Arabidopsis thaliana: one gene and its partners. The protein of the gene in region 1 interacts with the protein of each later gene in a pairwise test. Each region holds a gene or a part of one and is shown in the gene's direction. Other genes may lie near its edges.

Evidence for each region.
Region 2: the proteins of AT3G52050 (region 1) and AT5G58720 interact in a two-hybrid assay, tested with the Arabidopsis thaliana proteins (one large-scale study listed by BioGRID).
Region 3: the proteins of AT3G52050 (region 1) and AT4G10470 interact in a two-hybrid assay, tested with the Arabidopsis thaliana proteins (one large-scale study listed by BioGRID).

The regions. Positions count from the first base shown.
Region 1 is NC_003074.8:19,303,101-19,310,154, forward strand, and holds AT3G52050 (5'-3' exonuclease family protein), read left to right. Parts: upstream 1-1,785; 5' UTR 1,786-2,058; coding exon 2,059-2,253; intron 2,254-2,482; coding exon 2,483-2,696; intron 2,697-2,783; coding exon 2,784-2,863; intron 2,864-3,074; coding exon 3,075-3,113; intron 3,114-3,233; coding exon 3,234-3,252; intron 3,253-3,981; coding exon 3,982-4,035; intron 4,036-4,694; coding exon 4,695-4,822; intron 4,823-4,901; coding exon 4,902-4,970; intron 4,971-5,084; coding exon 5,085-5,170; intron 5,171-5,300; coding exon 5,301-5,410; intron 5,411-5,589; coding exon 5,590-5,640; intron 5,641-5,724; coding exon 5,725-5,783; coding exon of another isoform or gene 5,784-5,831; exon of another isoform or gene 5,832-5,874; coding exon 5,875-5,919; intron 5,920-6,009; coding exon 6,010-6,084; intron 6,085-6,175; coding exon 6,176-6,298; 3' UTR 6,299-6,551; downstream 6,552-7,054. Other genes in the region: AT3G52030 (F-box family protein with WD40/YVTN repeat doamin), read left to right, coding at 127-216, 374-516, 586-670, 761-1,127; AT3G52040 (2,3-bisphosphoglycerate-dependent phosphoglycerate mutase), read right to left, coding at 1,268-1,396, 1,483-1,535, 1,612-1,702.
Region 2 is NC_003076.8:23,719,191-23,724,791, reverse strand, and holds AT5G58720 (smr (Small MutS Related) domain-containing protein), read left to right. Parts: upstream 1-1,616; 5' UTR 1,617-1,817; coding exon 1,818-2,457; intron 2,458-2,646; coding exon 2,647-2,672; intron 2,673-2,796; coding exon 2,797-2,883; intron 2,884-2,979; coding exon 2,980-3,050; intron 3,051-3,371; coding exon 3,372-3,598; intron 3,599-3,851; coding exon 3,852-3,928; intron 3,929-4,001; coding exon 4,002-4,058; intron 4,059-4,142; coding exon 4,143-4,210; intron 4,211-4,295; coding exon 4,296-4,402; coding exon of another isoform or gene 4,403-4,458; exon of another isoform or gene 4,459-4,522; coding exon 4,523-4,593; coding exon of another isoform or gene 4,594-4,683; exon of another isoform or gene 4,684-4,687; coding exon 4,688-4,816; 3' UTR 4,817-5,097; downstream 5,098-5,601. Other genes in the region: Mik (pfkB-like carbohydrate kinase family protein), read left to right, coding at 1-352, 989-1,165; ROC7 (rotamase CYP 7), read right to left, coding at 5,297-5,435.
Region 3 is NC_003075.7:6,474,067-6,478,387, forward strand, and holds AT4G10470 (uncharacterized protein), read left to right. Parts: upstream 1-1,917; 5' UTR 1,918-2,042; coding exon 2,043-2,238; intron 2,239-2,385; coding exon 2,386-3,221; intron 3,222-3,308; coding exon 3,309-3,443; 3' UTR 3,444-3,467; intron 3,468-3,570; 3' UTR 3,571-3,817; downstream 3,818-4,321. Other genes in the region: AT4G10465 (Heavy metal transport/detoxification superfamily protein), read left to right, coding at 578-653, 749-1,071; AT4G10480 (Nascent polypeptide-associated complex (NAC), alpha subunit family protein), read right to left, coding at 4,023-4,321.

The DNA.
Region 1 (7,054 bases):
GATATTCCATGTTACTGACAAAAGTCGGTGTGATACTTCAACATGGCTACCTAGCCCCTCTGCCCCTGTAAGGTTGTTGGCTTCTCTATCCACACTGATAAGTTGTATGTTTTCTTTTTCAACCAGTTACATTGACCCAGAAGCTGTAGTTGGATGCGAGGATGGAACAGCTCGTGTATTTGATATGTACAGTAAGACATGTTCACAGATCATTAGGTAAGCTATGTATTATGTGTCTGTTGTGTTATGGAACAACACAGTGAAACTGGAAAAGAACGGTTTTTCATTATCAAAATTGTTTACAATTTCTTTTGAGAAAGCTAAATCACAATTTTCCTATCAGATTGGTTAATAACTATGTATGTAATTGCAGGACTCAGGGTGGGCCAATAACATGCTTATCTCTAAGCGATAATCAACTATTTCTTAGTGGGTCGTCACTCGGGAGAGTAACAGTATCTGACCCTTTGATGGATCAACCAGTGGCCACTCTTAAATCCACGATAACTGCAGGAGGTAAACTCAAACTCAATGTCAGATTGCATCTCCAGTGACATTTCTTAAAGCAACCTCCATTCTCTACAGGTATACAGACAATCTGTTTTAACCAAGGCACTAATCTCGCCTTCATTGGAACAACTGGTGGATATGTTTCATGCTGGGACCTCAGGTATGTTAAAATAGTCGTCTAAGGTTTTTTTCAAAGATGCAAGTTTTAATTCACTATCTTAAGACGTTATAACCAACTATTATCTAACAGGAAAATGGATAGATTGTGGGAAAAACGAGTGAGTCCTAATGTCGTGTACTCAATACAACAGCTAAGGAATGACACATCGGTTATGGTAGCTGGTGGAATAGACGGTGTGCTGCGTATGATTGATCAGAAGAGTGGAAGGGTTTTATCTAGAGTTATAATGGACGATAAATTCTCCACAACATCAACAAGGAACAACCAAGTGGTGATAGAGAAAAGAAGAGGAAAAAGAGTTTCTCAAGACATGGAGATTGATAAAATCGAAAGGAAAGTTCGGCCTCAAATCAGTTGCATAGCAATGGGGATGAAGAAGATGGTAACGGCTCACAATGGTAAATGCATAAGTGTATGGAAGTTCAATCTCTCGTAAAGTAACAATAAACTTGTTTGTAAGTGACGAAATTGGTAACAATAGCATTATAAATGATTGATTTAAAGACAAAACCGATTGGATTGTGTAAGAGCTACAAAAGTTGAAACACTGGAAACAAAAAAAGAAGGGTTTGTTGTCTATTTGGCGGATTTCTTGGATGGCTCAGGTTGAGATTCAGCTTTGATGATATTGAGTTGACCACCTTCTTTACAAGCTGCATTAGTTGCTTTCACTTCATTGCAATGGTTTATGAATTTCGTAAGCTCCTGCTCCACACAACACCAACCAATAACTCACAATTAAAGATCCAATCGATTCAGAATTTAGGGAGATTGAAGAATATAGAAATTACCCGATCAGTGTCCATCTCTTTCGTCATCTTTGTTGGTTTCACATTTCTCTTCCCTGGAACAAGAAGATGATAAAATCTGAGAAATCAAAATCGAAAGGGATTTGTGTGAAGTAAAAAAAAAGTGAATACCTTTGCGAGTTTGAATGGATTTGCCATGGCGATTAGGAGCAATAGTCTTCCTCTTCTGTTGGCCCTTGAACTGATTGCTCTTCTGCGTCATCTTTGGATCGTCGTTTCTAGCTAGGGTTTTCTCTTCTGTCGAAGGGTTTTTGTTGTAATAGAAGAAGAAGAAGAACAACAATCAAAAGCCTATATAATGGGCTCTTAAGGCCTTTATTTATATGGGCTGATTAATTATTGGGCCCAATTTGGAGTTTTCTAAATTCAACTCTGCTAAATTTTTGGGAGGCAGAAGATTTTGTTCCGAGGAAGACACGGATACGCAGAAAGCGGTAAAATCCTCCTTCTTCGTCGTCCTTGTAAAAACCCTTTCTCATTTTTGGAAGGTTCTTTCAAAATCCTTTCTTCGATTGCTTTCGGATTCTCGCTCGCTTCTTCGATTTTTGGTTTTGATTCATGGTGAATGTGTTTCCTCCGCTAAGGTTAAACGCTCTTCTTCTTCATGACAGTACTTTCAGTGACGTCATGACGCTGCATCTGTATCATCACTCCCGTTTTCTATGGAGGAATCTCTGTTTTCCTCGGAGTGTTGGAAACTTGTGTAATCGGAACTGTTCTCTCATCTCTCCTTCCCTTGCACGCTCTGCGAAGGTGATACTTGTACTTGTATCGTTCAATTCTGAGCTATTTAGATGTGGTTTTTACTCTTGTTATGTAGTCTACATCTGAATCATGGCTCTGATTAGTTTGATATACAGATTTTCTGAATCAATTGAATGTTTCTTTCGCGACATTTCTGTTTACTATAAACTCAAAATTGATCTCTGAAGGATACTTATTATTTCGTTCTAATGTTGATATAAACATTTGTGGTACACAGTACTATTGCAGTTCCGTAGCTGTTTCTGAATTCTCAAATGAAGCAGCTAGTGGCAGCACATTGACTTCTATAAGTGAAGATGTTACGCCACAGTCGATAAAATATCCTTTCAAGTCAGAAGAAAGAGTAGCTAGTACTGCTGCTTCTTCAAATGGCAGAGTGATGCTTATTGATGGGACATCGATTATATACAGGGCTTATTATAAGCTTTTAGGTAATTCTGCTACTCATGTGTACATCAAATGTTAATTTTTTTTCCTCCCGATCTCACACTTATTGACATTTGATTGGGCATGTGCAGCAAGGTTGAATCATGGTCATCTGGCTCATGCTGATGGAAATGCGGACTGGGTTTTAACAATATTTTCATCTCTTTCTCTTGTAAGTGATATCTTGAGTATTGTTCTCCAGATGTTCATTTTTACTGTACTTAAATCTGATGGTTGAGAAAAGCTTCTTGTAGCATTAACGATGGCTGACCAAGTAATCATGGTTGCGTATAATTATGTTTCCTTAAGGCTAAAGTTTATCTTTCTTGTTATAACTTTCGCATTCGACTTCTTACCTTGTTTCATTGTGTTCTCATTTTCAGCTGATTGATGTTTTGAAATTTCTCCCATCCCATGTGGCGGTAAATTCCATTATCCATTTAACATCGCATTTCTTTATATCTGTGATGATCGAATGAAGTTCTTGTAGTTTTCTTAATGTTGGATAGCCCCTACTGACTTAATTAACTGTGTCCATGCAGGTGGTGTTCGACCATGATGGTGAGTCCTAATGTAATAGTCTTCTATAATTGGTTAAATTCATGGACGTCTATCTACTTCATGTGGTGATGTAGGAAGAATTCAGGTTTTTGGGGACTTTTAGTGTCTATAGTTAACCACTTTGAGTGTGCCTCTCAGATGATTTAAACTAATTCATTGATATAAGCCCTTATTTCAAACTCTATAGTTATGGCCTCTATACTTCCTGATTTTAATTACTCAAGTATGTGTATGATTTCCCCTTATCAATTGATGCTAATTGCTCCTCTAGTCATCTATAATTTTGATTTTCATCATCCTCTTTCAGATGAATAGATAAATAATTGTCTTCAGCTTGTTGAATGTTGTTGCCCGAAAACTTAGATTATGTTGAGTGTTGATGTTTTCAACTTCATTTGTATCATAGTGAATGGATAAAAGTTTCAGATTTCAACTTCTGGCCACTACTGAGAACATTTATTCGATAGGCCTAAGAGTAAGCAGGTGGAGATCTAGATGGTGATATATTGACCAAAATTGATTACTTAATCTTGATAATCATTACTGTACTATTTATGGAATATTCCACTAAGTTATCTAGAAAAGCTTCTAGTAATGCATAATAGTGGTAATCTGACAAATATCATGTAGTAATCATGGTTATGTCATATGTGAGGCAAGAAGATTAAATGCTTTCTGGACCTATACGTCTCTAGTTACTCTTTTTTAACAAAATAGAGCCTTTTTCAGGAGTTCCTTATGGCACTACTTCTAATTCATCTACAGGTTATCGTTCTGCAAAAGGTAAGCTCCATGTCCTTAGTCAAACTAAAGTAATTTAATTGACAGTATAAGAAGTGGTCATTTTTGCATGAGAGTTTAGTTAGTATGCTGACTCGATGGTGATGTATGTAATATCATCGCCGATGATCTCCAATTGCTATACAAGCCTTCAGTATATTGCTTCTAAATATATAAACTTGCAGTTTGAACTGATTTTCTGCTGTGTGCCTAGGAGAAATTATTCCGGAAATTATGGCTTACTTGCCAAGGATGATATTTGAAGTGAAATGCCAACTTTGTCTTCCTTTGGGTGTTTTGCTTGCCGCTTTTGGGCAGTCATAAACTTTGGTGTAGATAACAGAGGGTCGGTCATATGCGCTTCCATGGCGGTCTTTGGCTATTTGTAAAATAAACTTAGGTCATATCCAATGATGAACGTAGGTCCAGTATGCTTGATGTCTTTTGTTGTTTCCGTTCTGTACATACTGACATAGATATGCATATCCAATACTCTCTTCTTTCTACGTGATGGGTTCACTTGGCTGCTCAAACTGTAAATTTTAGGCTTTTTGGCACTCTAAACCTCGACATGATTCTCCCTTGTCTTTGCGCAGAGTGTGAAGGATTATTTTTATGCATCAGTATCAAACCTATCTTTGTTCATGTTTAAATTTTTACAGGCATGAACTTCCGTCATACTCTCTACCCAGCATATAAAAGTAATCGTCCTCCCACACCTGATACCATAGTACAAGGACTTCAATATCTCAAAGCGTCCATCAAGGCAATGTCTATAAAAGTTATAGAGGTAAATCATGCACATGATTGCCATATTTCCTTTCATTGTGATGATTTCTCACTAATGGGCAGACATTCCATGAAGACAGGTGCCAGGTGTAGAAGCTGATGATGTTATTGGAACACTGGCTATGCGAAGCATTAGTGCCGGTTTCAAAGTACTCATTTTCAGCTATTCGAGAAGTGTTCACTACTTATTGAATGCTCAGGGTCTGTTCAATTTGTCCTTTTCCTAGAAGTGGACTGATCATTTGTTTGTTACCCCTTTACAGGTCCGAGTTGTCTCTCCAGACAAAGACTTCTTTCAGATTCTTTCTCCCTCGTTGCGTCTTCTTCGACTAACACCACGCGGATCAGAGTATGAAATTCATGTTAGATGGATAATTGCCTCATTGTAGAATTTTGCGTATTATGAAACCATAGTTGCTCTTTGTATCCTGTATGTTTTTTCCACTCAGTTGTGTCAAGGCTACTGCTTCTTGTGGCAGGATGGCTTCTTTTGGAATGGAAGATTTTGCTAAAAAGTTTGGAAATTTGGAACCAGCACAATTTGTTGATATCATCGCCCTTGCTGGAGACAAGTCTGATAATATTCCAGGTTAAGCCCACTTCCTCTACCCCTCACGAAATTGTTAATTTCTGGGGATATTCCTTTCATAGCCGCATTTTGTGTATCACAGAAAAGTTGAGCAAAAGTGCACAATCTACATACAAACGTTTAGCCAAAGTGCACACAGGAAAGGGCTAAAGTGATCTAATGATGTTTGTGTGATGCAGGAGTTGATGGTATTGGGAATGTGCACGCAGTGGAACTGATATCTAGATTTGGTATTCACTGAGTCATGCTATATTCTTTGATTTCATTGATTTGCGCCCCATGTTTCCTATTACTCACTTTTATTGCATTATCAGGCACGTTGGAGAATCTGTTGCAGTCTGTGGATGAGATCAAAGAAGGAAAAATAAAGGAGGTGAGTGAACAAGTGTTGCAGAGGTTAGGCAAGCTAGTGCTTCTGTGATATGCAAGGCCTAATATTATAATCTTCCTTGTCTTTGCAACAGTCTCTAATAGCTAGTGCGGATCAAGCCATTCTTAGCAAGAAATTGGTAGGTTTTCCTGTTTTTCTTTCATACTTTCATTCATTTATTCAGTTGTTAAGTTCACAAGGTAGGGATGATGAATTGTGTTAATGGCAGGCACTGTTACGGTCTGATCTCCCAGATTACATAGTACCGTTCGACACGAAAGATCTTACTTTTAAGAAACCAGAGGTTTGTATTTGTATGACGATATACATCTACTACAATAGACTAACTGAAAACAGAAAGATTAGTAACAGAGGATAATTTGTGAAATGTACAGGACAATGGTGAGAAATTGAGTAGCCTGTTAATCGCGATTGCGGATTACGCAGAAGGATTTTCAGCTGATCCAGTCATCAGAAGAGCTTTCAGGTTGTGGGAAAAACTGGAAGCAGTGCCATGATGATATTTTATGCATCTTTTTTCTTACTCGTTTCTTTGTATTGGGTACATAAAATAGAGTAAGTTCAAGCCAAGCTTAGAAAGTTCTCCCACAAAACATTAAAGCGATACTTTCACAATCCTTTTGTAAAGCATGCTTTATTGTAACTATGGAGAATGATGAAGTTGATGCTAATTTAGAATGCTCCTCCATGGGAGGTTCCATTACATAAAACACAAGGGAGATGATAACTTCAAGCTAGCCTCTTCTGAACACATCTAAAATGCTGTCTGAAACTCTGTTCACTTTGCTAAAACAAGAATCTCTTCTGTCTTTTAGTTGAATAGGTAAACTAACGTTAATATCATTTACTATTATTAGTATCCGCTAAATTGATTATAAAAAAAGGTCAAGTTAATGCCTCATGGAGACATATGATGATGATGATCAAAGTAAATTATAAACTAAGAAGAAAATATTCGTCTCTATTGAATTAATTATGTACATTAGTGACAATAAGAACTAAAAATATTCTAAACAAATTAACAATGAAAGAAAAGAGACAAGGTACTAAACTAGTACGTAAATTAGTAGACAAACTCCTTCATTGGATCTCAAACCAAATCGAAAACCAAGGACCAAGGTAGCATTATGCTTTTGATGATGGGGTCTGAAAGTGTGTTACCACTTACCACCTTGTGACAACTTTGGAACACTGAGTATTGGTGAAACCACTACTCAAAGCTTAAGCCCGTTCGCACAGTGACCCGGCTTTGA
Region 2 (5,601 bases), on another chromosome or scaffold:
TTTGAAAGAAAGTGGATTTTATCACATCTTGCATCGAATTGGATTCTTGAAAGCTTCGTCAGACGAAGCTCTTTTCATGGATGTTGAACAAATGAAGCACTTGTGTTGTGTGGTGGTGACTAATGGTGAAAAAGGGTGTAGGATTTATCATAAGGATGATGAAATGACGGTTCCTCCGTTCTTGGCGAAGCAGGTGGATCCTACCGGTGCCGGAGACAGCTTTCTCGGAGGTTTGATTGTTGGGCTTGTTGAAGGTTTGACTGTTCCTGATGCTGCATTGTTAGGGAACCTCTTTGGTTCCATCACTGTAGAGCATATTGGTCAGCCAAAGTTCGATTTGATGATGCTTCAGGTTTGTTTTTTGGTCTCGTATTAGCTTACTGAATTGCATGCTGTGAGAGATTTGCAAATCTAATAGACAGTAGTAAGAACTTTTAGAGCCGATGATAGTGATATGCAAATGTCTTTAACATAATCCTAGCAAAAGAACTCTGTTACATCTTGCAGCTTACTTTCAATACAGCCAAACCTATATCTTGCGGGTGAACTAGAATCTGTATTTGATGTTGATAGGTTTCCAATCTGAAAATGTGTCAAATCTTCACAGTTGTTGTTTGAGATTCTGTCGAGTCACAGCTGCTGAGAGAGTCTTTTCTTGTTTTACTTCATTGTTAATCTAGGAGCAGTTTCATTCAACATAGGGTAGATGCAGGAAAAAGTGTTGTTTAAGCATTCACCGAACAATGTGGTTAAGCAATTAGAGAATTCAAAAGTATGGATCTCTTGATGTATTTGCGAGTGTTTCTGTGTATCTCTTGTAGTTGTATCTGTTGAAATGAGGGCGTTATTGGATAATAATTGAACCATTGGCTAGTGCAAGTGAACATTAAGCAAATTAGAAGATTTATAGCGTTTGTGTTTGCACTGCACAAGGATTCATCCCTTTCATCGGTTATTTCTATGTGACATATGTCTTTGTGATTTGCAGAAAGTCAAGGATGAGGTACAGAGAAGGAAGAAGCAGTGTAACATATCTAGCAGCCATAACAACGATCACAACGAGTTCCATGAGCGTCTAAGTCCAGCTCGGTTTTCATGCGTAGACTCTCAACTTCAACCAAAGTTATTGGTCAATGGTCACTCTTGTGATGATCGGTCCCTGTGAATACGAATCTTGAATCACCTTTTTTTTACTAACAAAGCTCTTCTGAGTTGTGTAAGCTTGCTTCAACACGTTGATGAATTTTGGAAATTTTAATGTATAAAACGCGTTGACCAGCGTCTTCAAACGCTCTTTCTGGTCGTTCCCGCAAAGTTTGTTTATCAACTCCGCGTTTCAAAATTCGAAATGAAGATGTCAAATTTTGTTTTAAAAGTTTTGGATAAGATGATTTGCTATTCGCATGTTGCCACATTATCTAGTTAATATAAAAACCAAAAACAAATCTGAGATAAAATTACGAAAGTCAACGTGGGAGATCTAATTTTGACTGGTGCATAGTTGAACCGGTTCAATATATGTACAATCAGGAGGAAACCGTGTTCGGTGTTTGATTCGTGCGCGTGGATTTAAAACGTGGTCACGATCAGGCGCGTGGATTGACGTGGCGATTCCGATTCCCAATCAAAAGTCTGGACGAGCAAAAAATTTCCTCTGATATTGGCATCTCCATTACTAACTCCTGATTTACGGTTAAAACGCCTCTTCCCTCTCTCCGACGCTTCTCGTCGGAAATCTGGGTTTAAGTTTCTTCTGCAGATCGGAAGAGATTCTATTGAAGCGGCGTTGACACGATTTCATCTATAATTGTACGATAATGAAGCAGAAGAACCAGCATAAGAAGAAGAAGAAGCGATCCTGCGCCGCGAAACCTTCCGGTGATGGAACGACGTCGGACGGGAACAAAAAAGATGTGGAGGAAGAGAGGAAGGACGGTGAAGGAAAGAGGGAGATAGAAAACGTTGGAAAAAATTTTATCGAATCGTTAATGGAAGCCTTTTGCTCGGTTTCAATGGAGGAAGCGATGGCTGCTTATAAGGAAGCAGGCGGAGATCTGAACAAAGCCGCTGAGATTTTATCGGATCTGGTGGAAAGCGGTGATGATCCGTCGACGAGTTCGGTGGCGAGTGGTTCTTCGGGTCAGGAAACAGCGTCTACCTCTGAGTATGGGGCAGGGTCAAGTTCTAGCTGTAGCGAAGATTTGACTAGAGATAGATGGTTTAAGGGAAGCAAGCAGAGTAGAGTTATTGCTGCTACAGGGATGGTTTCTTCTGTGATTGCGAAGGATTACTTGAAGCCAAACCCTGTGCGAAAAGAGTTTCCTATGATGGAACGGTCTAAAGAGCTCTGTGGGAACGGGAAAAAAGCTGCGGATAGAGAGAAAGCTGAACAGTTCTTAAGTTCAATGCTTGGAGATGATTGCGAGCTTAGCATGGCTGTTGTTAGAGATGTTTTGTGTGAGTATTTCTTCTTCTTAGTCAGTTAATTTTTCCATGGGAGAAGATGTTAGTAGAAAAGTATGATCCTTAATAGTTATAGGATTACGTTTTAATGTGTCCGCGATATTCGAAATATAGCCGTAATAATGTTATGAGGAGAGACTAGATTGTTCGATGAATTGACATGGAAGTATCTATTTTTTGTAGGTCAATGTGGCTATGATGTCGACATGGTAAGCAGAGATTGTCTTCAAACTTACATGGGGAAGTATTTAGTATATTGACAGGGAAGCTCCTGAAATATGCTGATACTTGCCCGACTATTTATTTTAAAGCTTAATAGCGTTTTCTTCTTAGGCTTTGAATGTCTTGCTTGACATGTCTTCTTCATCAACTGATGATTCATTGAGTGGTAAATGTTTCGGCATAGGAGTCAGCGATAGTGTAAGTGATTGTTTTTTTTGTTAATCTTCATAGATCTGTTTATTTTGTTTTCTTACACGATAAAATAAAGTGCAATCTCCTGACATTATTTAACAGCTGGCAGAGTCATCTTTTGATACTGATACTTCTGATTGTGAACTTTTCTGGGGTGGAGACTATAGTCAAAGGTACTTCTATTTGCTTCTTAGGCTTTCATCTTGTTATTGCAATTCACTGATTTTGGAATTATCAGAGTTGATTTACACGTTAGTTACAAGATAACGAGCTCTCTGCAACCTCTCCTTATCTTTTAATTAGTCCTTATCCTCTTCTATGAAAGAACAACAAACGAACTATTTCATGGTGGAGGATTCAGTTCATGAACACATGATATCTAAATTACTCATGAGACCGCCAAAACTTACATTATGATTTCTTAATTTCAACATTGTGGACGAGGTCAAAACTAAATATCTGGCCTTTTTTTCTTTTCTTTGTCTGAATGGTAGGGACTACGCAAAAGCTCTCATGAGTTCTCAAGATCCTTTTGCAACTACCCAAGGAATTGATGAGCTTGGTCTTCCACAAAAAGTGTTGGAGTCTCTGTTCAACATTCGCCAGAATCCTAAACATGAATCAAAGACAACGAGTTGGAGGAATGTGGCAAAGAAAATGCAGTCACTTGGCATTGATGCTTCTTCATCTAGTGGGGAAGAGCCTCACCCTAATACGTTTGGTACTTTACTATGGTTTCTTGATTTTAGTATTTGCGTATATAGCTGCAAATAGCATGCTCAATTTGCCATGAGTTTGCCGGCTTCGAGCTTCTGATGTATGTTGTTTTACCTGATGAAACACTTGGCAATTTTTGCTTTGGTGTCATTGGCATAAACATCTGAAGTTTTGACTGCTTGTTTGTGTTGCAACTCTTGAATCAATCTTTCTTACTCATGAATTGCATTACCAATCAATCAGTACGTGTGTTGCAGTGAAGGATGACAGTTATCATGAACTTAGAAAAGGTGCAAATGACCAGTGGAATGTTACGAAGTCCTACTATCAAAAAGTTAGTTTTACTTGCTTCCATATATCTGGCTCTGGTAGACTCCTCAACTAATGCATTTATTAATTGGTTTAAGGCTGCCGAAGCATATTCGAAAGGAGGGAGGGCTCATGCGGCTTACCTTTCTGACAAGGTGCATATCACGGTTTACATATATCATGGTATCATGGCATTTTGTTTGACAGTATGACAGAAACTTGTGTTGTTTTTCTTTTAGGGAAGAGTGGCATCTAAACAAGCTCAACGGGCTGATGAGAGGGCAAGCCAAGATATATTCGTTGCAAGGTTAGCTGTTTTGATGCATTATCAAAGTATGCTGATGCGCTTAAACATTTTGTGGTGGACTAAGCCATTGTTTATGACTATGCAGAAACAAAGGTATAGAGAATGTGGTAACCATTGATCTGCATGGTCAGCATGTTAAACCAGCAATGAAGCTACTGAAGCTACATCTCTTATTTGGATCATATGTTCCTTGTGAGTACTTAGCAAACTCAATTATAAGTCTTTTCTTCTTTAGTAGATCATCATAGTCAGATCTTGTCATCATAAAACCCGAGATAATACCTTCCTCCTAACAATTGTGAAATCATCCAGCCATTCAGACTCTACGAGTGATCACAGGATGTGGAGCTTCTGGGTTTGGGAAGTCTAAGGTGAAACAATCAGTAAGTTTCTTCAACGCCCTTTCACAGCAAAACCGGAGACAAGAATTTAGTATTGCAGTCATGGTATATGATTGTTATTTATGGATATGATCAGGTGGTAAAGCTGCTAGAAAGAGAAGGAGTTAGGTATTGTGAAGAGAACAGAGGGACACTGCTGATCAAGCTTGACGGAGGTAGTAGAGAGTTCAGTTTCTTAGACACAGAGAGTGACTCTGATGAATAAGTGATAACTAAAACTAAAGTCAGGTTTTAGCTTTAGATCTTAAAATTTATGTCGATTTTGTCTATATCTGATGCTAGCTCTCTGTTGTTAAGTAAATGTTGGGCAAAACTTAGCTTCCTTCTTTTTCCTTTCCGTATTTCACGTTATTTAAGTTCTGAAAACACTTTGTCTGACACAGACAGAATGTATATTTTTCGCTAACTCTTCTTTAGGAGTTTACTGATATATATATTATCGTGTAACTTCTATAAATTCTACAAATGTTGACAATGCAAAACGGCATAAGTGCAGAATTTTTGCTACTGAAAGACATTTGTGTATAAAGTCAGACATAGCTCGAGCTAGAAAGCAGACGAAAGAAATAAAGCCGGTAGAATCTTTCATAAAGTAACCAAGACACTCGTTTTAACACAAAAGTCATCAAGCACACTAGAGCTCACATCAATGGATGATCAGATGGAGAAAACTAGAGTTGTTGAGTTACAGGGGAAGCTCACCACTGTCTACAATCACCACTTTACTCTTAGGAGTTCCACTCTGATTTCCTTCAGCTTCGACTTTGTACACCACATCCATTCCTGTCACTACCTTCCCGAATACCACATGTCGCCCATCCAACCTGCAAACTTTCTAATCAGCAGACGGAAACAACATATCGACAATTCTATCCATAATTGAAACTCTTAAGCTTAGAAAGTAGTAACCTGCCCACACAATTGTCAAACAACTTGAAAGTAAAAGATAAGAAACTGGCTTTATGTGTTTGAAATTCAGATGATTCTGTA
Region 3 (4,321 bases), on another chromosome or scaffold:
AATTTTGCTTAAACACAAGCCGCACTTGATGTAAAACAGTTTTTTTCCGAATAATTTTACATAATATTCAAAAAACAAAAGAATAAGAAGATTAGCAAAACAAACGAAATTCTTTTGATAAACGAATCATTGATGGACTATACCATTAATAGTCAAGCTTTCCAATTAATGACATTTGAAAAGCTGATATTTGCAGAACCGATTGGTTTATATTTTATTTTTTTTGAATTTAGTGTTAAGTTATATTCAAAGAAAAAATAAACGTTTATACATGTGAATGCAAAATTTTCTTAGCATATAGAATAAAGTTTTATATCCTTGGTGTTATATCGATGCGAACCACACTTGGAATCCTTCCACATATTTCTCTACCTTCCCTTTTACACTAGCCATGATTAAATTATCTCGATTTAAATGTCAATTCCTACACAATCATCTAGTTTTCAAAGTGCTAATAATTTACTAATGATCATTTTGATAATAGTATATACCATACTACTTTTTTTATTTATATCCAAAGTTCTCATAAGAAAACTAAAGTTTTTGAGTTTGACATTCGTGGCTCGTGGACTACTAGACGGTTGAGCTGAAGGTAAGAATGTGTTGTACTGGTTGCGTCAGGATCGTTAGGAACGCGATCTCCAAACTCCGAGGTAACAACTAATTGCTTTGCTTTAAAATTTAAAGACAAGATTAGTGTAATGAACGAAAAAAGAGACTAGATGTAATGAATTTGATTAAATTTTAGGAGTTGACTCAGTGGAGGTGGATAAAGAGTTAGGAAGAGTGAGAGTGGTGGGTTATGTTGACAGAAACAAAGTACTCAAAGCCGTGAGGCGAGCGGGGAAGAGAGCTGAGTTTTCGCCATACCCTGAACCTCCACTTTACTTCACATCTACTCAAAACTATTTCGTAGATCCTTCGAAAGAGTTTAAAGAGAGCTATAACTATTATAGACATGGCTACAATGGTACAGAACAACATGGTAATATCCCCGTAGGTTCTCGTGGAGACGACAGGGTTAGTAATATGTTCAATGACGATAACGTTAATGCATGCCGTCTCATGTAAACTACATACGTAATGACTTAAAACTTGTGGAGAAGTAAACTGTAATTATTATCATATTGTACTAGTAATACTATAAAAGAATAAGAGAAGTCCAGTGTTCCCTACTTGTATTAGAAACGTCATTTTATAGTGGTTAAATGTCATATTGCTTATATTTATCTTTAATTCACTTTTGCAAATGTCATTTCATGGTTGTTGTTTTTCAGTTTTTAATATGTTTTTTTTTGTGCAACACTAATATGTTTTTGTTCTATATATCGTTTTCGATGTGTAATGAGTTTGATCTCCATTTAAGTTAATTATTTATTTGTATTTTCTGAATTTTTAGTTCCCTCAAATGTGTTTTGCAATAATATTATGTAAGATATGAAATTTTTGGTCTCTCATGAAACATTTTATGAAGACTTTCAATTTTAATTTTGAGTACAATATCTTTTTAAAGTAAAACGTTTTCGGGTTAGTCTAATTATTGAATCAATTTTCTTGAAAGAAAGTAAGTAAGTCATCAGCTTGATAGAAATTATTTGTATTGACTTAAAGATGTTTAATTAGTTTATTTTTATCATTGGTGACCGATCATTATCTTTATACTATTTTATTCGGTTATAGTAAAAAATAAATAATCACTTCATTATTATTGTAATATTGTTAAACTTAATATTTTAGTTTGAACAAAAAGAAATGATTTTATATTTTTGTTAAATATGGTATAATTAGTTTTACTTTTATAAAACTACATAAGTTACATTAAATAAATTATAATCAATCAAGCAATGGTCGAATCCGGTTGAACCGAAATGTAGTCCGGTTTACTGTCGGAGTTTGGTTTAGAAAACATTGGTAATCACTAATCACAGATAGCACAGTGAAAAGGGTAGGACAAGGTTGATGAAGCTCGTCGTCTCTGCAAAATCCCTTCCCTTCTTTCTTTCTATCCACAAACAAAATTTCGAATCCATAGAGAAGAAAACATGAAGCAATGTGATCGTAGTAGTCTATCTCCTTTTCCTATAAGTTCTTCTTCCTTATCTTCTTCTTTCGTTGCTTCTGAATCTGATCCTGAAGATTCTTTATGGAGTGATTTCACTTTCGATTTCTCATTCTTAACATCCGAAGACCACAAGATTAGTCCCAATGATGATAATGATGCGACCACTGTTCCTAAAGGTTTTTTTTTTTTTTTGTCTTTCTTGAAATGTTATGGTTTTGTTCTTGTTATGTGTTGTGTAAGAGTTTCTTGAATCCCTTAGGAGAGAATTTACTGTAATGTGCTCTTCTATGACACTTGTGAATGATTTATTTGGACTTGTGTAGGGAAAGAATTGAATCCTTTGGCACCTCAGTTTCTACCATTCAATGCTAAGAAGAACCTAAACAAGAATGGGAGAGAAATTGAAGTAAACAGTTCCAACCAAAACACTAGAATAGGCGTCCTGATCCATGATGCAGATGAGAGTTTGGGTTTAGTATCTCAAGATAGTGTTTCCAACACTATGAGTATGTTAGATATTAGCAACGAGTTCCAAAAGTCTAAAAAGCTGGATCCGTTAGCTCCTGTTTTTGTTCCTGCTTGTGCAAAACTAAGTGAGAAGCACGGTGCAGCAGATCACATGTTAACTATGGAGACAAATGTTGGCTCAACTTCTGGTGTAAGTTCTTCAGACAGTATGTTGCTTAATACTTTTAAGGTTGTTGGGACACATTCTTTAGTGGTCGACCGCAGTTTAAGGAATAGATACTCTAATACAAGATTGGATAGGTCCAGCAACAAGTCTCATGGTCGGAAGAAGCTAAATCCTCTGGCTCCTCGGTTCTCACTAGCAGATCATAAACAAAATGTATATGGCTGTGAGGTAAACCAAGCTGCAAATGACTTTGGTGATAGACATGGCTGTTCCACATCATCACCATCTCAAAAAGTGGATGTTAAGAAACTACTTACGACGATTCATGGATTGTCAGAGTTGCTAACACATGTACACAGTTCAGAAACTTCGGATTTACCAAATGAGCAGTATCTTGATCTCATCAACTGTACTGTGCAGAATCTCAACTCCTATATCAATAACAGAGTTCAGGAGCATAGTGGGGATTATGCAAGTGCTGTACATAGTTCATGTGATTTATATTCGTTGCCTAATATGCGTAAGGTATGTTCTCTTGACTACTTTTAAGGATCATCGAAGCATTCTTGTTCGGTTTTAAAGCCTGTAGACCATCGTTATCACAATGTGCAGGTTATAAGAAATCATCATCAAACAGAAGAGCAAATCAACCCAGAGGTGTGTTTTTATAAAAGCTTATGGCTCAAGGCTAAGGCAGAGAGATCGTTGATGGAACATGAAACATTTCTTTCAAAAGCAAGATCTTGAGCAATTAGTGAAGAGTTATATAAGGTGACATCAGATCATCCTAACTTTTTTACTTCATAGCAACAATGTCAAAGATTGATTTCTCTTTCTATGAGGTCCTATTGAGCGTTTGCTTTCGATTTTGCAGGTTAGCGTGTAGAAATTCAAGCGGCTGAATCGAGGCGGTGTTACTAGCTAGAGAAGTTTTGCTAGCAAATGTATGTGTAGGTCGAAAAGAGGGACACTCATGTCAATTCTAGACAAAGACTTGAATCTGTATTTTGTGTTGTAGAAACTTGAAATACTTTATACACAAATCTAGCTTTGTTTCTTGAACCAAATTTGTATTTTGAAGCTACATTTCAATGAATATATGTAAAGAGATTACTCATCAATCTTTCTTGCTAAAGAGTTAACAACACTAGACATAAACGTCTCAAATTATAGATGTGAAGCAACATTGTTTATGGCTCAGAGAAAGGTAAAAAGAAATAGCCTCAAAAAAGTGGAGAAACAGAGATGTTCGAGAAAATTGCTAACCGAATCAGAAATGAAGCAACAAAGACGAACCATCACAAGTCTTTTGCAACTCACTAAAACCTATGTAGTGAGTTCCATAATGGCGGAAACAATATCTCCGTTACTCTCTTTAAGAGCCTTAACAGCCTTGGGCCTCGAGACACCGGCTTGAGTCATCACAAGATCAATGTCCTTGGCTTCAACACCAGTCTCATCAACATCTTCATCGTCTTCCTCCTCTTGTGCAACCGTGGCTGCTTCAGAACCATCAGTGTTGGGGATCATAGACGCAACGTCAGGCATCTTGAACCTCTGAGCAGCTTGTGCTTGTAGCTGAGAGCTCATGTCATCAATCTTAGCCTCACCGAATATCACATAGG